Linked DNA regions of Drosophila melanogaster. Changing the gene in region 3 together with the main gene of any one other region gives a genetic interaction. Each region holds a gene or a part of one and is shown on either strand. Other genes may lie near its edges.

Region 1 (8,279 bases), on a different chromosome or scaffold from region 3:
CCGGAAAGCAATCGCCGTCTGCAGGTCCAATTCGCAGGGTGAGCAAATAAAGGGGGGCAGCTCGTTCCCGGGTCCGCCGAGCAACTACGGATAATCCAGACTTAAGTTTGAAAACACAAAAATAGAAAGGTACTCACAAACAAACCAGTAAGAACCTCGATCTGGTGCAGCATTACGGAATTGGGCTCCTCGAAGAGGTTACTGGGCGTCGAACAGAAAATGAACAGGCCGCAAGTCCGGCAATTACGATTCGGCATTTTTAAACTTATTTATTTAGTAACACTTAAGAAAAAATTAATCAGAAAATTGCTCTGCTTTTCATATTGTTGCTCCTTTGGCAATGCCAGACTGTTATAGCTAAGAAGATGTGGCACCGCTGCCACAACATCGTAAGGGGGATTCCTGAACAGATCTTAATTTTTAATTCGATTGATTATTTGATATTACTTTATTTGATTACTCGCTTTTCTCCATTCGATTTAAGAGTTCATTTCAAAAATATTACCTTATTTGCAGTGCTTACGCAAAGAGAATTCCTTACAGTGTAGATTCAGGTGGCCACTATATAGCTTGAGCAGCTGATTGATGTAAACAAGCTTACAATAACAAATATTTCCAGATTGTAGAATATTCCTAAGTTTTTCCAAATTTAAGGATGCATCTAAACGAGAACACCAAAATACTGGGTCACAGGGTCATCCTTGTGCCCTACGAAGCGCGCCACGTGCCCAAGTACCACGAGTGGATGAGCAACGAGACCCTGAGGGAGTTGACCGCATCCGAGGAACTGACCTTAGAAGAGGAGCACGAGATGCAAAGGAGTTGGAGGGAGGACAGCGACAAGCTGACCTTCATTGTCCTGGATGCAGAGACTTATTCGCGTGATCAGGATGAGATTGCCGCCATGGTGGGCGACACCAATCTCTTCCTGCACCAAGATCCCGATAGCCAGATACCAACGGCGGAGGCGGAAATCATGATTGCCGAACCTTATGCACGGGGCAAGGGATTCGGCAGGGAAGCCATGCTCCTCATGCTCAAGTACGCCCAATCGCAGCCCCAGCTTAAATTGGATAAATTCGAGGTCAAGATCGACATGGACAACGCTGCATCGCTGCATTTGTTTAAGAGTTTTATGTTCGTGGAGACGCGTCGAGTGGAGATCTTCCACGAGGTCACCCTGGAGCGACCTATCACTCCAGATTGGATCAACTGGCTGGACCAGCAGGTGGATCTGCGTATGCAGTGCTATCAGTGAAAAGAAGCCTTTAGAATCGTAATTTCACGGTCTGTTTATTACACTTATGTTACATCTACTTGTTTCGCTTGCCTTATTTATGCTGCATTTTACATCAAATGAATGTATTTATGGGTGCATCGATGTCTCTTTTTGTTTCGCCCTGTGGCTTGGATGATTGTAATGCTGTGTATGCTTCTCGTTTTTTTTTTTTTTAATTTGTAATTTTCGTGGCAGGAAATGGACAACAAACATTGGCCGCTTGTTCAGTATCTCCGGTGTTGTGTGGGCGTATATTTAAGTATAGTACATAAAACTAGATGCTTAGTGCTTTACAGCTGCATACTTAAGACTTCTAAGTTGTTTCAATTTTTTATAAAAATTATTATCAAATAATCAAAGGCAAACATAATCGTAATCAGAATTGCAAATGAAAAACACAAAATCCGCAAATAGCTGACGGATAGCTGCCGCTAAAACTGAGTCCTTAGCATAGATGTGGGCCAATAATAAATACGGATTAGGCGGCGGCACGCGGGCCATCGATCGGCATGGCGTGCAGCACTTCGTCCAGCAGCTGCAGGGCGCGATGCAGGTGCACCTCGATCCAGCAGGGCGTTTCTTTGATGGACTGGCGTGGGTAGTCAGGTCCCCAGCCCTTGACGAAGCTCAGGCGCAGGATGCATAACCGGCGCAGATCGTCCACGCCAATTCCAGCCGCTGCTGTCATGCCTGGAATACCGCATCAACACATTAGTTTTCCCTAAATCAAACTGATTCCATCTACTTACTCCTTCCGCCGCCGCCCATTTGCTGATTGGCCACTCCGGCCACGGCTGCCGCCTGAGCAGCGGCCGCTGCCTGCGCATTGGTCGCCAGCGAGTGCATCTGCTGGTGGCACTGGCGCAGGTCAAACACCTGCATGAGAAAATGTATGTTAAGCTATCACATTAAACTCTCTTGATTGCACCAACCTTTATGCACGCGGCCGGATAAATCTTGTGCACAGCATCGCCAGGTGTGCGTCCTGCCTCGCGATCCAGATAATAGCTTTGTACGAAAACTGAATTGTCACTAAGACAGCGCAGCCAGACGTCGCCCTCCCCACGCAGATCCAATTGCACGCCCTTGCCGATGTGGAGCCTGCATGGAACTTGGTAATTAATCCCTGCTCTGCAAGTTACTCCCAGGGGGATGTACTCACCTGGCCCGTTCCGATTGTTCAGTGCGATGAACATTGCTCAAGGCGCCCAGACAGAATCGATTGCCTCCAGAGGGATCCACATAGCCGTCGATGATTACGTTCGGTTTCGCTGACGGCACCTTGAAGGTCTCGCCCACTTGCGTGTCCAACTCGAAGTATGCGATGGAGCACCAGTATTCCGGCGGCGGTTGGCGAGACAGGAGGCGTGGTTGCTGCTGTTGTTGTTGCTGCTGCGGAGGCGTCTGTTGCGGGGAGCCGAGGTCACCCGAAAGCGACGAATTCCCTGGAAAATGAAGGACAGGGATTACAAAGTCGCACAGTGGGCTACATAGCCTAGACTTACAGAAGCCCCCGGGTAGAGAGCGCGGATCTGGTGGTTGCATAGACTGCGTGTAGGTGAGGGTGTTGGGCCCTGTCCAGGTGCCAGCCGCACCGCCTCCGGCGCCAGCCTGAGCCCCAGCAGACCCAGTATTGGCCTGCACACCGGTCGGTGGCTGCTGCGGCTGCTGTGGTGTGGGTTGGGCTGTGCCAAAGACGCCACCACCTCCAACGGGAGCACTGCCCGCGGATCCTGGCTGCGACACGTAGCCGTTTTGCTGGGCGTGGACGGACGGGGCCACCGAGGTGCCACCCCCACCGGCACCTTGCATCTGACTAACAGGAGGTGGCTGTCCATAGTACTGCCCTCCAGCTGCTGCTCCACCGCCGGCATTAACTGATCCATTGGGCACACCGCCTGATTGCTGCTGTTGCTGCTGCTGCTGTTGTTGTTGCTGCTGCTGCTGCTGCTGCTGTTGTTGCATGGCCAGTGCGGAGGCGGGATCTGTGGGCGAATTGGCCTGGGTATGGTGCACCCCATTGCCCTGGGGATTCTGAGCCTGCTGCGGCGGGGGTGGGGGTGCCATCACGGGACCGGGATTCATTGGACCAGGCATGCCCGGCATACCGTGAGGCACAGCTGAAAGTTGATTTTGGGAAAAGATTAATGTGTATTCAACTAATTGTTAATAAGACAAATATTATAATAGTTTAAAATCCAACATATGAGAAAAATTGTAATTAAAATTCGATTTTCGAAGCTTCAACTATAATCAAGGCCATATCCTTACGGAGTGAGTGAGCAGCTGCCTGCGATTGTGCCTGCTGCTGCTGTGTAGGTTGCGGGGTTTGCTGCTGCGGCTGCTGCTGTTGTTGCTGCGGGGGCTGACCCAGCCGGGGGGGAGGCGGTACCATCCAAGAGCCACGCGACCCAGCAACTCCATCCTGGGGCTCGATTTTTGGTATTGTGCGCCCGGTGGGAAACATTGCACTCATGGGATTGGCATCGCCAACTACGCAAAGTCAACATAAAATCGCCAAAAGGAAACAAATATAAATAAATTATTAAAACCAAAGAAATAAACGAATGTAAACAATTAAGTAAAATGAACAATTCAGTTTAAAATTATAAATAATATAGAAAAATTATCAAGAAATCCAGTATCGAAAACTCAAACTATATCGAATTAATGTCAATACTGTAGTCTTACCATATTCAGAGGGACCCTGTGGATATCCGTAGCCGCCGGGCCCCACCATTTGCGTGGGATGGTGCTGTATGGTGCCGATGTCGTTGCCATCGATGTCCATGCTGCCCACCAGCGGACCCGCTGAGTATTCGTCCTTCACCAGGCGACTGGGGCCCGACTGCAGACTCAGGCCGGACAGATCGATGCCCGGAGAGACGACGCGCTCGTAGTGGTAGGGATTCACGCACACCGAGTCGCACTTGAGATCGAAGGCGAAGGCGCAGTACTTGACGTGCTTCAGCTCGTTCTTGTGCAGGTCAGGCCAGCGCCAAATCCGGGCGTATATGACGTGCGGAAAACCCTTGCGTCCAGCAACCTTCGATAGAGAATGGTAAAGTGGTAAGTTCATTGCTTATACACATTATCAAATTCGATGCAGAAAGTCTGAGAGACTCAACCTACCTGCAAGCGACCATCGAGGGTGCGCTGTATGGTCACGCACTTGCTGGGATGGGCTCCGTTCGTGGTGATGGCCGTGATCAAGGAGTCCAGTTCGTCGCGCTTCTCCTTGAGCTTTTTGACCAGCGACTCGATGGCTCGCTTGGCAAATCCCTCGCTTTCGCCGCCCTGCCGATGGCACATCAGCGAGTGGACGATGCTCAGACAGGCGTCCGCCGATGTGGGGGCGTTCGAGGGCGGCGGCGGCATTTGCACCATGTCCCGGACAATTACTGCAGATGGTGGGGGTAATTAGCTCTGAGTTTTTTTAGTAGATCAACGGATACTGTACAGCTCAATCCAATTTCATTTTAAATTTCAAAGAGTTTCAAGTTTATCAACAGTAAATAATAATGCTACGGTAAGATTTAGGATTGTCCACAATACTTGGCCACAAATCGATTTTAGAATAACAACTCGAAAAGGAGTTCACTATGACTGCTGCTCCTCTAGAGAACTTCACTTACTGTCCTGCGGGGCTACGGCGCCGTACATGTGGGCGGGCGGACACGCCCCCGAGCCGCCGCCCATGCCAAAGTCCTGGGCGAGCGAGCCCAGAGTGCGAGCATGGGCATCCACGGCGGCGTTGTTGCTGGATCCGGATCCGGAATGGGGATCGTGAGCGGCGGAGAGCGGAGTGGGGATCGTACGGTGGCTGGAGCAGGCGTAATCGAAGCCGGCGGCGGGCAAAAACAAGGCGTAGAATCACTGGCCAAAGAAAAGCCAAACAAAGGCGGCACGCGAATGTGAGCACAAAACAAACGGCGGCTGGATGGCTTTGTGTGAGTGGGCTTGGGGGGTGTTGCACACACGCATACACACACACACGCGCGCGCTGAACTAACTCGACTTGAACTCCCACAAAGTTGGCGTAATTTCCCTGCGAAAACTCTCCTCTCCTTCGTCTTCTCCACCTCCTTCTTTACGCACACTGGCACACGCACTGCACACACACACGCCCAGCGAGAAGTTTCCTGCTCAAATCCTTGGTAGAGACTGGCTTTTACTGTTTTTCGTGGAATTTCATAGTTTGCACTTAATTGGCTGCTTGGGAAACTCGAAAGTACAATTTTCCGCCCGACGAAATCCAGTTTTCCAGCCAATTTGCCTTTTTTTCCTTTTTTATTTTGTTGCGGCTGTGCAGAGTGACCGTTTCGCGATACAACATGGGCGGGCGTTGCCAGATGGGCAAAGCGCGAAATACCTACCTTGGATTTTTACAAACACCTAGTTTGGTCAGTTCTCGAAGATTTGATTTGAGAATAAGTTTATATTTTTTGGAAATAAGAAGCAAGAAAAGCAGATACTGATCAAAACGCAGAGGCATCCGGGTAAGTGCCATGAGATTTGTTACACCGACTTACACTCATTTCGCGGGCTGTTCAGTGCGTAAAACGAACTTTTTGAAAGGCCGAAAATCAATCGCCACGCGTTTTTTCCCATTCGCATGTGTGTGTGTGTGTGACGAAATTGAGGAAAGTTTCTTATCGTTGAGATTGGGGAAAATCGAAGGCTGAACATCTTGTGCAACAAGTTAATTGATGTTTTCGCATTCCCATTGAAAAGTTTCTTTCCATTGCTTTAATTGCTAAAATTCATTCATAAAAAATTGCCGTTGATGAGTCGTTTGTGTGACAGGTTGTTTCTAGAAATATGCATGTGTGTGTAGTGGGGCCTGAAATAGACCACCCCCTTCCCCTCTTCTCTTGAAAATGTTCACTTGGCAACAGTAACGAATTTCCTTTTCGCCGGAAATGCATTTCTCCGGCTTTTGTAAAACAGTTTGCTGCGTAGTTTCCATCTTCAAAATATCTTATCAAAATGCGTAATTTCAACGCTTATCTGAACGGAATTTCGATTTGCGGCGTACATATGTAAATATGTTTATATTTTGGCAATGACATTGATTGTGAAATTATGTGTGGGAAGTTTGCGATTCCCTGCCAAAACAGAAGCTTCCATTTGTAATAGTAATTTGGGAACTCAATTTAACTTCGAGGATTTGTTGCCCTCATATTTTTTAATTCCCTAACTAATTAAATCACTTGTCATAAAATTGTCTACATCCCGCATTCAGAAGCATAAAGTTATTATTTAATCCCTATCAGGCTTACGGTGTTGAAAATTGTTCGACACCAAAAAGAATTATTGCGGGCTTATTTGAGTTCGGTGTTCAAAATTGTTCGACATCAAAAAAGAATTATTGCGGGCTTATTAGGGTTCGATAACATTACAGCGAAATGTTAGTTAACAGAGAGAATCGAATAACATACACATCGATAGTGAGGGACTATCGCTTCCGCTGGCTTAGGGTATTTTATAGTACAAATTTCAGTTCGCACCAAATCTGTGGAACTTGTAGGCCTACTGGTAACACTGGTCGCTCACAATATTCTTCATTCGTAAAAAAACAACAAAGCGGAGAAGTACCGTTTTTGCGAGCGCGAGTGTTTGAATGTGTTTGTTTGCTTAGGAATAGAAAATAGAAATTGAAAAGGACCAAGTGCAAACGTACAAAGCTTTGCTAAAGCAGAACTAAAAAAAATCAGCAGGAGGAAAATGCACAGCTGATGGAGAAAAGTCCCAAGCACCTTCAGCCCAGTGTGTGTGGGAAAAATCGATCCGCAGACGGGAAAAATTGAGGATAAAATGCCAGCCTAATAAACAGAGTTCCAATTGTGATACAAACGCAGTACAAATTAGTTAACAACTAGCTTAAATGGCCAACGACAAGGTTTTATAGCTAACTATCTGACGCAATTGAATAAGCGTAAAGCTGCCAGCCAATTTATTCACTTATTTTCGAGTGCAATAGAAGCAAAAATTCACAACTAAACAAAGTTCATCTCAACATTCCTGCGCAACACAAAACAACAAAATGGCTGTAAAAACGTAAGAAAATGCTAAATTTATTTAAGAGTGGAAAAGTCGATAAAATGCAAAAAGAGAATCAAGGTTTTTTTCTTCATCTATCAGATGATTTTGTTTGTAGGAAAAAAGAAATTATATTAGGCATACATACAAAATTCGTTCATTTACGTGTTTGTTTCGCTTCCATTTGTTTCACAGCTGTTTGTCTGGTGTTTGTGTGTGTAAGCGAGAGAGTGGATTTGGGGTCCGCTATTCGTAGGTCGTTGCTTACAGAGTGAGCGAGAGGGTCGAACGAGGGGTGGGCGAGGAACTATGCTGCTTGCAGTGGTATGTGTGTTTGAGGGGCTGTGCTTTTTATGCAAGCTGTACAACATACATATGTAATGAGACTAATGTACGCCTTTGTTTCCTTGGCACCGCCTTATTCGCCTAGAAAACCCATTCCTATTGCCTTCCCCCATTTGCATATCTGTTTTATTTCCAATTTGCGTCAATTGTTTTACTTCATATTCCCCTTTTCCTTTGTTGTTCTCCCCACAATTTGTGTGTTCCGCTTCCAAAGTTCCCTTGCCATCGTACACACACGCGAGCTGCAAACAAAGACTTTGTATGTGTGTATGTTGTTCCCATTCGGATTTTTACCTCATACACACACTCACACCAGCACAGCAACTTGATTGGTTTGGGAGTGTGCGTGCTCTGGCTTGGAATTGCGTCAGCCAAAAATAAAATATGTGCGACGGATAAAACTACTTGTTTTCGTTTCAAAAACACTTTTGCTCATTTTAGGAAGCAACTTGTTTCTGGAAAACACAAGTAACAACTGCTATTACATTCCGTTTTGTACCCCGTTTCTCCTGATTTCACCTTCAGCGCATTTACTTTGTTTTCTGGGTCATATTTGTTGATTTCAATTTGTTGCGCAGTCGCAAAGTCGCGCAGAATTGCTTAATTTGTTGAT
Region 2 (6,332 bases), on a different chromosome or scaffold from region 3:
CTCCGGAACACTGATAATAATATTGACGGCAGGCGGCGTTGACGGTGGTGACTGACCTTGCGGCTGGGTGGTTGCTTTCTTGGGCGGACTGCTGAAGGGAGACCCCTTAGATTTGATGCTAGGAGACATCCTCACACTTGCCTTCACACAAGCGGGTAGTAATGGTATTTCAGCTTTGCCTTGCCAGCTTTGGGACGTAGCTCCCTTCAGATGAGCCACATGTTCCTTGGCTTTGGTGTCCTCAGTTTGTACTGCTTTTGCCTTGGGCGGACTTATTAATCTGTCGGGTAAGACGACAGTTGAAGGTACTCCCAGCTCTGATTTCAATGCTTGTGGGGGTTCCTTGCATACGGTACTGTTCTCCTCCAGAAAGCTTAAGTCGGGAAGCTCCAGTTGTGGGCAGGGTTTTTCCTCTGAAGGCGAGTGCAGATTTGGCATGGAACTGGAACTCACATTTGTCTTAAGGGGGGTTTCTGTGGCAGAAGTCAATTGCTGCAGCAGTTCCAATATAAATTCGTCATCATTTGGAGGAGGTTTGGACGTTAAGGCCGCAGGGTGAGAAGGTAGCGTAGCAGCAGGAGATTCAAAAAGTTCAGATTGTGGAGCAGTGATGGGAAGTGCTGCCTCCGAGTTCAGATCTTCATCAGAGGAGACCTCATCGTTGTGTGGCCACAAACAGCTCCTGGACTCGCACTTCAGCAGCTGCTCCTCGAGATTAATGTAAAAGTAGCGCAGCTTGTGATTCCTGCCTTCACTCTGGCACTCCAGACACTCGTCTCCCGGCTGCAGTCGCTGCATTCTCAACGACGATTGTGGTGGTCCTTGGTTTGCCCGGCCGAAAAACTCAGAGGTTTCCCCCAGAATGCGCATGCTGTTTCTGCCGTTTGGCTGCCTGGTTTAATGTGCGTGTGCTCACCTGACCGAAGGTTAAACGGAAAGCGTACAGGCCGAGATTGCTTGTTTTCATGGTCCGTTCCAGTTCCAAATCGAGCAAATCGGGACCTGCAACAGTAGTAGACACGGTATCCGGTTATTCGAGCTTACATAACATCAATTGATTTTTCCCCGACTGCGTGCGCTTTGCTCTTGTTCGCTCATTGCTGGCGTTCTTTATCACTTACGTTTCGTTTGGCAATGGGAACTTTAGTGCTCGGCGCTCTCTGATTAACCGCGATTGCAGGTGCAGCCGATTAAACCAGCAACGTTGCTAAAATTTGGCGAGCAAATGAAAACCAAGAAAACTAAACGATCTAGAACTCATGTGAGTAGCGGGCAAGTGCGAAAGGGACTCGAGATTAGAGATGGGACTTCGAGTGGCTGCGATAGTATCGATCTACGGAGCACTTGCCTGCTGCGAGAGATAGCAGGGGTATTTTTTATTTTTATGCTTCATATTGTTAAGAAATCAACGAAAACTTTGAGCGTTAAAAAGAAGTTTCCTTACTTCAAATTCTTGTTGCATTTCCAACGCTTTCAGAATTTGAAACTTTGGAAATGTAACATCTTTAAAGTTGATGGGAGTACACATGCAAAAATATTGCGGGATCATTAAAAATACGAAAAGGTATTTTTCAGACCAAGCACACTTTTTTCTTTTCATGATATGTGTCCAATAGACAACTTGTCGGTGAAATGGTAGTTAAAAACCTTTATAGTGGAAAATATAAATTAAAGAATATCAGATTAAAACCCAAAGGGCAAAACGGTGTGACCGTTTTAGAAGCGAATTTAAATTTTGCGCTCAAATGTCAATGTTGCCACACCAACAGAAATCTGTATTCGAAATAATTTTACTGATTCTTTAAATTGGTAAATTATTTCAGGCCCAGCAACCTGCGACAAAGCCATCCCAAGAAAATATAAATTGAACGAGTAACCTAACAAAAAGTTTCTGTCAGCTGTTTTATATCGAAAAAAGTGCTGTTTTCCAACACTTCGTTTGCAGTCAGACAAGTTATCATTTCATAATTCGCAAAAGGAGCTAAATTCAATATCCGTACGAAATGAAGCTATCCGAGGGAGTTAAGGATCGTTTGGGATTTGTGGTTGGAGTCGTCCAGACTGGATTCCACTGGGGATTCGTGCCTCTTGTGCTGTATTTGGGTAAGTTGTGGTTCATGTTTTTTGTAATCTACACGCGGCTGGGAAGAAGAAGCAGCGGGGTAATATCAAATGGACCGACATTGATTTTGACCAATTCTCATTTTCGCAGGATTTATGAAGGGAGCTGAGCCTGGCATGCCGCCTCTGAACCTTTTCAGTCTGTTATGGCAGTAAAAATAGTGGACATGATCATTTTGCTGTCGTATGCCCCGCATTTTGGTTCTGGTTGGGTTTCTGGGAACGGGTGCAGTACCTGCAGCTATTGCAAATAAATATCTGTTACAAAACAAATCGAAATTTTTTTATGTATCCTGGAAACAACCAATATTTTAACAAAAATCATTGTCCATAAAAACATAACCGATTGGGCATTTTTACGCACTTCTCTAGCGGGTGGGTGTTTTTCATGGGCAGTCCAGCCTGGGCACACTACTGCAGGTGCGGTCACACTGTTTGCAAATCCACACACACCAGCGCGGTTTTTCGCTGCACAAAATTGTACATTTAAGAAAAAATAGCAGCAATTAATATAAACAAACGGTTGCCCCAGACACCCGAAAGTGCCGGCTGTCCCGCGGAATATGAAATAGTGCCACTTCCCCCGCGCCACTGCCCCAATCACGTGATGAAAATCCGCCTGAAAAGTCGCCCTCGTCCGTGAAATGTAAAGCAGAGCAGAGCAGTTTTTCCAACCAACTTGTGCGGAGTGTGGAGTTCGAGTTTCGCATTGCGGGCCCCCATCGAGATTCGCTAATTGTGAGAATCGCCAGTCTATATTCCCGGCCATGCCCCCGCCAAATGTGGGAATTCGCGGGCGCCTGTCCTACGCGATAAATGCGCAGTTCGGGGCCAATTAGTGGCTGTCTGAGGTGTCCTCCTGCCGCTCCTCCTGCTCCTGCGGCCCCGCCTCGTCCTGCCGCGAAACAACAATCTCATTTGCAGGCCACAGACTTTGAACTTGCGACGCGCGTGTGCGTGCGTGCGATCGTGGAAAACAAAAGAAAAGCTCTCGGGCTGCACAAACAATAACAATAGCTCGGGTCGGGTCGCACACACTATCGTCGGTGCGAATAGCCAACATGTTATCTGCGCTCCGGCTAATCTTCCTGGGCGCTCTGCTCGGCGCCTCTGTTTGCGGTGAGTGTACCCCCCAGCGGTTCCATTAATCTGGATCAGGTGCGAAACTAACCTAAAATCTCCCCCGGTGCAGCCTCCCCCATTGAGTTCGTAATGGACACCAGCCTAAATGGCTCTCGATCTGATCCTGCGACTGCAACCCACCCTGGCAAATGGCCACCGACGACCAAAGCGCCGGCGCTCAGGGCTCCAGCTGGAACAGCTGGACATGCTTATCAGTCGCCATCGTCGTCGCTGGCCGCTGATAACAGAAGCCACGACAACAACAACGCTAGCGCCGTGTCCATGCTGCTGCCGCAAGACGGCGACGCATCTGGAGCTGTGGCCCCTGCTGTTACTCCCCAGCTGCCCATCTACATTGCTCAGCCTAGCGCGAAAAAGCCAGAAAGTAAGTTCCGATTGCCTAACGAGAGTGTAGAGCACACTGCGGACAATGCACCCCGAATTATCTAAACAACAAGAATGTGATAGATTTACAGACTTGTTCCGGTATTGCCTTGCAAACATTTTACTTGACTTCAGTTAACCAGGAAAGTCAGCACAGAGTAAAGGTCATTTTACTTCCCTTTTTTAAGGTGAAATCCATTATTGGGAGAAGATAGAAACCGCTTAGTGGTTATACCTTACTTGTCCGATATATTGACATTTTTGTTGTTGTTGTTTAATAATTAAAATATCTTACCAAGGGTTACTTAATACTTGGCGATCTTTTCGATGCCATAGGGATCTTTTCTCCGTGTGTATATCGCGTGACTGTAACACCTCAAAGACTCTGAACGCTTCTAAAAGGCCGTCTTCGTCTGCGCCTGAGGCTCCGATTCCGTTCCCATATAGTGACGTCACCTCTCCGTGGTGTCAATGAGCTGAGCCAGACAGCTCTCATGGCCCACTCCAACGCTGCCTGGCTGCAGACACCCCCACGTCTGGATGCATTTGCTTGCTGCACTTGGGCACTTGCAACTGCAGTCGGTGCAAAAAAAAGCAGGCCTAAGCACTGGCACTGGCTTCTCGCTGTCCGGGGGAAGGGGAAACTGGTCGCATTGTCTGGCCCTCCACTTTGCACTTGTCTTCTCCGCGTCTGCTTTGTTAATGCTAAATGGTTTTGTTTTTGTTTCATCACGCTCTCGGCGGTGTCGGTGGCGGTAGATGTGGATATGGTAGTGGCTATGGATGTCTATGTGACTGTCTGGGCGAGCGTGTGCCCGGCCAGGTGCCCCGGGGGCATGGTTATGGCAAATCCCAATTTGTGGTCAGGAGATGCCAATCAGCGAGTGGTTGATTTATGGGTCTCTTATTTCTCTAATTAGTTAATTTCTGCCAGCGCCTAATTGATTGATTTGCTTCAATCGGAGTCGGGGCATTTTCTTAATTCGAGAAGTTTGCTACTGCTAACCTATGCTTTTGCGTTTTATTTGTTTAAATAATAAGAAAATCATTAACCGTGGCAAATGAGGCGCGGACCTCTTCCTTTGCTTACCTTTCCACAAGTAATTAATATTCATTAAATATTACAAGAAACACGTGCTTGGTTAGGATCACCTACAAATAGTGAAGATATATCGTTAAGCGAAGAATAAGTTTTTGTTGGTGAGTCGGTTTAAAGTTAACAAATTTTTGGTAGGAATGTATGGATTTGATAGTACTCTAAAGTTTGGTTTTTTGCAAATAGATCTTTATATTAATTTTACCTTTTATGTTCTGCAGACAAGATAAAATGCCACTGTGACACGTGCAAGGAATCGAACAATATATGTGAAACGGACGGCTTTTGTTTCACGTCCGTGGAGAAGAACTCTGATGGGAGCATCATCTTCAGCTACAGGTGAGTGCCGAGAGCCTGAGGAGCAGGCCTTTGATTAGGTTAGCACTTGCCCCTCAGAGCAGCCAGTGTGAATATGTCTGATACGATCGATCTATCGAGCGATGCAGATGTCTGCACAAGTCTCAAATCTTTCCGCCGGGCCGCTCCATCTGGTGTAACGACGGGCTGCACGGCGGACCAACCGCCCGCCCAGTGGGTCGCAATGGCGCCCACGCCTGCTGCAAGGACAGGGACTTCTGCAACCGATTTCTGTGGCCAAAGACGAAGGACCAGAGGAGTGATCGTGTCGAAGAAGGGCGGCAAATCTCCGTCCAAGGTGCGTGCGCTTATGCACGTGTTTCGCTCCCAAAAACCCCTCCTCTCTGACTGCTCCCATTTCTCTGTTCACTCGCACGCCGTTCAACAACCAGTTGCCCAGTTTTGATCGTTCTTTGGACTGTTTCCCCCACTTATGCTCGTTGAGTTGAAGTTTTGAAATGATCATAACCCCAAATGCAGAGCACTACTAATGATGACCTGCTGAAAACCAGAGCGGCGTTACACACACTGTAATCAATATAATTATAATACTCTTCTTGCTACTAACCAGACTGCCACTTCAATTAGCAACAAGCCGAAGGCGGCAACAACTACAGCTGAATCAGAATCAAAATCAGAATCAGATGCAGCAGTAGCAGCATCAGCAGCAACCAACAACCAATGCCAAGCAATACTAATTTCGTATAATTGTTATTTTATTTTCTCTATCTCCCGATATTTCCTTCGCTCCCTTCGGCTCCTCCACTCGAATGAATATATCGAACTTATCGCATTATCCCCGCTCGTTCACATATTTGTGGACTGTGCTGTACGGTGACCCAGTTGCATGGTTGTCAAGTACAATATGCAACGGAGTAAGCCCTTCGAATGCCTCACCAGTAACGAAAGGTTCGATACGTATAGGATTGATTGCTGTAAGAGTGATTTCTGCAATAAGAATGAGATTATGAAGAGGATATTTGAAACAGGTACAGCCGCATTCAAGTAACAAAAACCACACAACCAACAACAATACAATTTCTATCTTTAGTTTGCACTCCTTCTCTAATTCACTGCGCCTAATTAGCACTGCATCAATATGATTAATAGATTAATTATAACAATTCAATAATCTGTAACAATAATTTTTGGTTTAGTTCAGTCTGTTTCCCCTCAGGTGTGCACACCGCCTCAGTTTTCCCCTTAGCTTATTACATATTTACTTTGACTACTTGCACTTTTTCGCTTCTCG
Region 3 (6,465 bases):
AATTCTTGGCAAACTGGGTAAATGCCAATATTTTACAACGATCGATCTGGCAAAGGGATTTCATCAAATAGAAATGGACGAAGAATCAATTTCTAAAACTGCATTCTCCACAAAAAGCGGTCATTACGAATACCTTCGAATGCCATTTGGCCTTAGGAATGCACCCGCTACTTTTCAAAGGTGCATGAATAATATCCTTCGACCGTTGCTTAACAAACACTGTTTGGTGTATCTGGATGATATTATAATTTTTTCAACATCCCTTACAGAACATTTAAATTCAATACAATTAGTTTTTACAAAGCTTGCAGATGCAAATTTAAAATTGCAACTAGACAAATGTGAGTTCTTAAAAAAGGAAGCTAACTTTCTTGGTCACATAGTTACCCCTGATGGTATTAAACCAAATCCTATTAAAGTTAAAGCCATAGTTTCATACCCAATTCCGACAAAAGTAAAAGAGATAAGAGCTTTCCTTGGATTAACAGGTTATTATCGCAAATTTATTCCAAATTACGCAGACATAGCAAAACCCATGACCAGCTGCTTAAAAAAAGGAGCAAAGATAGATACACAAAAACTTGAGTACATAGAGGCATTCGAAAAACTTAAGGCTTTGATAATTCGTGACCCAATTTTACAATTACCTGATTTTGAAAAGAAATTTGTTTTAACCACAGATGCAAGTAACTTGGCCCTCGGGGCTGTCCTTTCTCAAAACGGTCATCCTATATCTTTTATTAGTAGAACACTTAACGATCACGAATTAAATTACAGTGCTATCGAAAAAGAATTACTTGCCATAGTTTGGGCCACAAAAACTTTTCGACATTATTTACTAGGACGACAATTTCTCATTGCCAGTGACCATCAACCTCTTAGATGGCTTCATAACTTAAAGGAACCGAATGCTAAGTTAGAAAGATGGAGAGTTAGATTAAGCGAATACCAATTTAAAATAGATTATATTAAAGGGAAAGAAAATTCAGTTGCCGATGCATTATCAAGAATTAAAATTGAAGAAAATCATCATAGTGAAGCTACTCAACATAGTGCAGAAGAGGACAATAGCAACCTTATTCATTTAACAGAAAAACCAATAAATTATTTCAAAAAACAAATAATCTTTATTAAATCCGATAAAAATAAAGTAGAGCATTCAAAAATATTCGGTAACTCCATTACCACAATTCAATATGATGTAATGACACTTGAAAAGGCCAAACAAATTTTACTCGATCACTTTATCCATAGAAACATTACCATTTATATTGAGAGCGATGTAGATTTTGAAATTATTCAAAGAGCACACATAGAAATTGTTAATACCACCTACACAAAAGTAATTCGCAGTCTTTTCCTATTAAAGAACGTTGGTTCATACGCCGAATTCAAAGAAATCATACTTCAATCACATGAAAAACTTTTACACCCTGGTATACAGAAAATGACAAAATTATTTAAAGAAAATCACTTCTTTCCAAATAGCCAACTATTAATTCAGAATATAATAAACGAATGCAACATATGCAATTTGGCCAAAACAGAACATAGAAACACCAAAATGCCTTTAAAAATCACACCCAACCCGGAACATTGCCGAGAAAAATTTGTAGTAGATATTTATTCATCTGAGGGAAAACATTACATCAGTTGCATTGATATTTATTCTAAATTCGCTACACTTGAGCAAATTAAAACTAAGGATTGGATAGAATGCAGAAACGCATTAATGCGCATTTTTAATCAACTAGGTAAACCCAAATTATTAAAGGCAGACAGAGACGGAGCTTTCTCCAGTTTAGCTTTAAAGCGATGGCTTGAAGAAGAAGAAGTCGAATTACAGCTCAATACAGCAAAAAACGGGGTAGCAGACGTCGAAAGATTACACAAAACAATAAATGAAAAAATTCGTATAATCAATTCATCTGATGATGAAGAAGTAAAATTAAGCAAGATAGAAACAATCCTCTACACATACAACCATAAAATTAAACATGACACTACTGGACAGACACCTGCTCAAATTTTCTTATACGCTGGGCATCCCATATTAGACACTCAAAAAATTAAAGAGAAGAAAATAGACAAAATAAATGAAGACAGACAGGAATTTAATATTGACACTAATTACAGAAAAGGTCCACTACAGAAAGGCAAATTAGAAAACCCATTTAAACCAACCAAAAATGTAGAACAGACAGACCCTGACCATTACAAAATCACTAATAGAAATAGAGTTACGCACTACTACAAAACACAATTCAAAAAACAAAAGAAAAATAATAAACTCTCAATTTCACAGGCACCTGGTACCCGATAACACTATTGTTTATACTGATCACAGCTGTTCATGGACAACAAATTCAAATTAATAATATTGACACCAACCACGGATACCTCCTTTTTTCTGATAAGCCAGTACAGATACCATCCTCCTTTGAACATCACTCCTTAAAAATCAATTTAACTGAAATAGACATCGTGGTTGACTATTTTGAGCAAAGACTACGAACCGATTACCATGCACCCCAGATCAATTTTTTATACAATAAAATAAAAAGAGAACTAGCCGGAATAACCCTGAAACATAGAAACAAACGGGGTCTTATTAACATTGTGGGTTCAGGTTTTAAATACCTATTTGGAACACTAGATGAAAATGATCGAGTCGAAATACAGAAAAAACTTGAAATCAACGTCCATAACTCAGTAAAATTACATGAACTCAACGACGCCATACGATTGATAAATGACGGAATACATAGAAGATTTGGAAATGGCTATGCAGCTTTCCAGACTTGGACTGTTTAACCCCAAATTACTAAACTACGACAAACTTGAAAATGTGAACAGCCAAAACATTTTGAACATTAAAACATCCACTTGGATTAACTACAATGATAACCAAGTATTAATCATATCCCACATACCCATTTACCTTTCACTAATAAGCACAATTAAAATAATTCCTTACCCAGACTCCAACGGCTATCAGCTAGATTACACAGACACACAATCATATTTTGAAAAAGAAAATAAAGTTTATAATACCGAAAATAAAGAAGTAAAAAATGAATGTGTCACCAATATTATTAAACACTTAAATCCAATTTGTAATTTTAAGCCAGTACACACGAACGAAATAATAAAATACATAGAACCAAACACAATTGTAACCTGGAACTTAACCCAAACAATTCTTAACCAAAATTGCCAAAATTCAATTAATAAAATAAAAATAGAAGGAAACAAAATGATAAGAGTAACGCAATGCAAAATAGAAATCAATAATATAATTTTAAGTGAAAATCTGTTAGAACCAGAAATAGATTTGACATCACTATACACACCACTTAATATAACAAAAATAAAAATTGTAAAACACAACGACATTGTTGAGATGATTTCAGAGAACAATATTACACTTTACATACAAATGATCATTGTAATAATCGCACTAATTTTGTTGTACTCATATTTAAGATATGTATCATTTAAACCATTTATGATGCTGTATGCAAAACTTAAAATAAGAAAAAATCAAAATCAAAACACACCACAACAAACAGAAATAGAAGAAACTCCATTTCCCACACTATATCCATCAATCCCAGCCCAAGTATAGGCTTCTCTTTAAGGGAAGGGGAGTGACGTATTTGGGTGGTCCAAACCAGCCACTTCCATTATTTCAAAGAAATCAGTAATGCACTCTAGTAATTTTCCATAACGTATCCCAGCTGCGCAGCATTCGTTTATCTTTGGCAGCGCAGCCGTTCTTGTAAACATCCTAAAGCCTGACCTAAGCAGATTTGACTGCCCTCTTTCAACGCTACCTAATCTTAAGAACCCAAGAGCGAGGCTCTCCCGAAATACAAATATTGTTCAAATACTGAGGCTTCTCCTCAATCCAATTTGCATTTGATTTTTAGTCTTAAGCTGAGATCCAAAGAATAAAGTCGTGAAACTATTTCTCCTAAAACTATTTTTTATTTCTTGGCGTTGTCCTTAGTCAACTGACGGGACATTAGTTCGACTCATAAATAAAACAACAATTTTACTATATATTTTCAATTTTTTTTTTCGCAAGCGTCGCACGTGCGAGCTTTTCCCCCGATATTTATATTCGCCACTCACACACACGCGCACCGAGAGCGACACGTCCGAACGGTTCCAGAGCCGTTAAATTTTCGAACTAAAACTGAGTGTCGGGGGTGTAGTGTGGCCAGTTCTTCTAGCGCTCGTTTCGGTAAAGTTTGTGCTCTCGCTTATTGGCCGCATTTCTTGTGTACCGCCGCATGGTCACTCTAGTGCCGCTCTTTGAACCGCTCTCTTACGTTTTCTCTTCTATTACTGCTGCTCATTTAACAGAAATGTTAAAATGCAACGCTTTTCTAACAGAGACCGCGGTCTAAACTTATTTAAATAACATTTTATCTTTTAATAAGCAAATAAATGTAAATCGTACTTAATGAAATATATGATTTTACAAGATGTGTGGTAATAATTTCCATAAAAACGTTTGTTTGTTCTTTCTTCTTTATAATGTAGTAACTAGTTTAACTAGTCCGCGAGTTCATCGGATAACGTGACCACTTAAAAGATTAGATTTTGGGATATGCGGATAGATTGTCACTACCAATTTACAATACTTAATCAATGTTTAATTAAATCAGCAAATGCTATCGATAAGCCAAACTGAAAAATTGCCATTTAGTTCGTTTCTAACCGTGGCGGTCCCAAGTTCATGATCAAGTGCCCTTAGACCTATAGAAAAAATGGACTCAAAAATTACCTTTCTACTTACAACGCTACTATTTGGTAATTCGTATTTTTGCACTTTTCAAAATCATTACATATCATCATTTTTTAATGTTTTTAACTCATGTACATACGACCCCTGGGTCGCTTGGAAACATTAGGATCCAGACAGTTTAGTTTTGACATAACTTAAAAAAACTAACAGGTATCTGATAGTCGATGCTCCTGTACTCAATTAAAACATTTAAATCTGACGAGTGTGTTGGGTAACATTACTTGATAATACATTTACACAATCGCAAAAAGGGGGTAAAACGTAAAATAGCAACATTTTGTTATTTTTTGTCAATAAGTTGTCATGTAAACTCTTAGAGCTAGGGTATATGAGCGTCGGTCTCTTGAAGTTAAGCACATTTCTCGCCATTCTCACTTCACGTCTGCTCTCTACGCTTGCGCCATTGCACAGCTGACAGATTGAAGAGAATTATTGATGTGCAGTTGCATTGCAGCATTCGGTGAAAGCGGAAGAAGGGCACAACGCGCTTTGCATTCCATAAAAATCGCATAACAAAGGGAGTTAATTAGAGTCCATTCGCGCACACATACATATGTACACGCTCATTGCGAAGTAAACAAATTCACATTGGATTGGATTGCATGTGTTTGCGTATCAATTCTCGCTGGTAGGGTGGTAAGGAAGGCAAATGGGCTTATCTACGCGTATCTGCCATATTATGCCCTCTGTGCGTCCCATTGTCCAATTGTGGAATATTAATGCCGTCTATTTCACGTCCACTCGCAGTGCTCGTGGCCAAAATCAATGGGTCTGCTCTGAACGCCAGCAATTATCAGTACCAAGTGGTGGTCGAGCAGACAGCGCCAGACGATTCCCAGATCGAATATATATTCCTCAAACAGTCGGATATGATGAAGGTATGGGGCACAAATCTCACTGCCATTACCTGGGCCCATGCCGTCAACAGCCAGCAATTGCTGGACGAGGTCCTAACCGAAACCAGTAAGATCATTGGCCAAATATGCGCGTGTAACCAACTTATCAATAGTATCATTTCCCTGCCCAAGGTGGCATTGACTTCATCGAAGCGGACATTGTGCTGGGCAAACTGAATGGCGATGGCGAGGACATGCCCATAATGGCCCATCCGCCGGCCAATGTCTCTGATCTTACGCTGTCGGAATTTCTCAACCAGATCATTAATTTCAACCGTGATCATGAGGACCAAAAAAAGGGCGTTAAGCTCGACTTCAAGTCGATCGAGGTATTCGAGGGTTCCCTGGACATTCTGGACGTGAATATTCCGAACGTAAGTTTGGTCATCGAATCTCAGATATCAGAACAAATTAAACAATATCTCTGTGTTGTGCAGCCTACCACGTATCCTGTGTGGATAAACGCCGATATTCTAAGTGGTCCCGTGGAACAGAATAGAACCGTACCCGTTGATGCGGACCGATTCTTCGCCGGCTGTATGCGCTACAAACAGGCAGTGCTCTCCATTGGCTGGACAACTAACTGGGGAGCCGACTTCCGGGATGGCGAGTACACGCAGCAGCAGTGTGATGACATGCTGGAAACGCTGAGCGAGAACAATGTCCTATCCACTGGCCAGGCCATAACCTTTCCCGTGCGCGCTGGCATTGCCGCCAACAGCGAGGAGCAACTGCATCGACTGGTGGCCGCGG

What was found. Genes that interact genetically often act in the same process or in processes that back each other up.
Region 1: of Snoo (region 3) and Med, changing one suppresses a phenotype caused by changing the other (phenotypic suppression), as found in Drosophila melanogaster (2 studies listed by BioGRID).
Region 2: of Snoo (region 3) and babo, changing one suppresses a phenotype caused by changing the other (phenotypic suppression), as found in Drosophila melanogaster (2 studies listed by BioGRID).

What each region holds. Positions count from the first base shown.
Region 1 is NT_033777.3:31,608,380-31,616,658, reverse strand, and holds Med (medea), read right to left. Parts: upstream 5,614-8,279; 5' UTR 4,979-5,613; coding exon 4,915-4,978; intron 4,681-4,914; coding exon 4,412-4,680; intron 4,349-4,411; exon of another isoform or gene 4,326-4,348; coding exon 3,971-4,325; intron 3,773-3,970; coding exon 3,551-3,772; intron 3,400-3,550; coding exon 2,785-3,399; intron 2,725-2,784; coding exon 2,442-2,724; intron 2,381-2,441; coding exon 2,212-2,380; intron 2,156-2,211; coding exon 2,029-2,155; intron 1,970-2,028; coding exon 1,758-1,969; 3' UTR 1,284-1,757; downstream 1-1,283. Other genes in the region: CG1792 (uncharacterized protein), read right to left, coding at 1-84, 138-257; Mnat9 (microtubule-associated Nat9), read left to right, coding at 656-1,258.
Region 2 is NT_033778.4:8,949,790-8,956,121, forward strand, and holds the start of babo (baboon), read left to right. Parts: upstream 1-2,549; 5' UTR 2,550-3,182; coding exon 3,183-3,240; intron 3,241-3,313; coding exon 3,314-3,628; intron 3,629-4,944; coding exon 4,945-5,062; intron 5,063-5,169; coding exon 5,170-5,378; intron 5,379-5,923; coding exon of another isoform or gene 5,924-6,069; intron 6,070-6,332. Other genes in the region: CG33199 (uncharacterized protein), read right to left, coding at 917-967; CG8229 (uncharacterized protein), read right to left, coding at 1-798; Tom7 (translocase of outer membrane 7), read left to right, coding at 2,004-2,103, 2,213-2,277.
Region 3 is NT_033779.5:7,979,990-7,986,454, forward strand, and holds the start of Snoo (Sno oncogene), read right to left. Parts: upstream 4,208-6,465; 5' UTR 4,142-4,207; exon of another isoform or gene 3,957-4,141; intron 1-3,956. Other genes in the region: CG7231 (uncharacterized protein), read left to right, coding at 4,779-4,821, 5,564-5,779, 5,845-6,095, 6,150-6,465.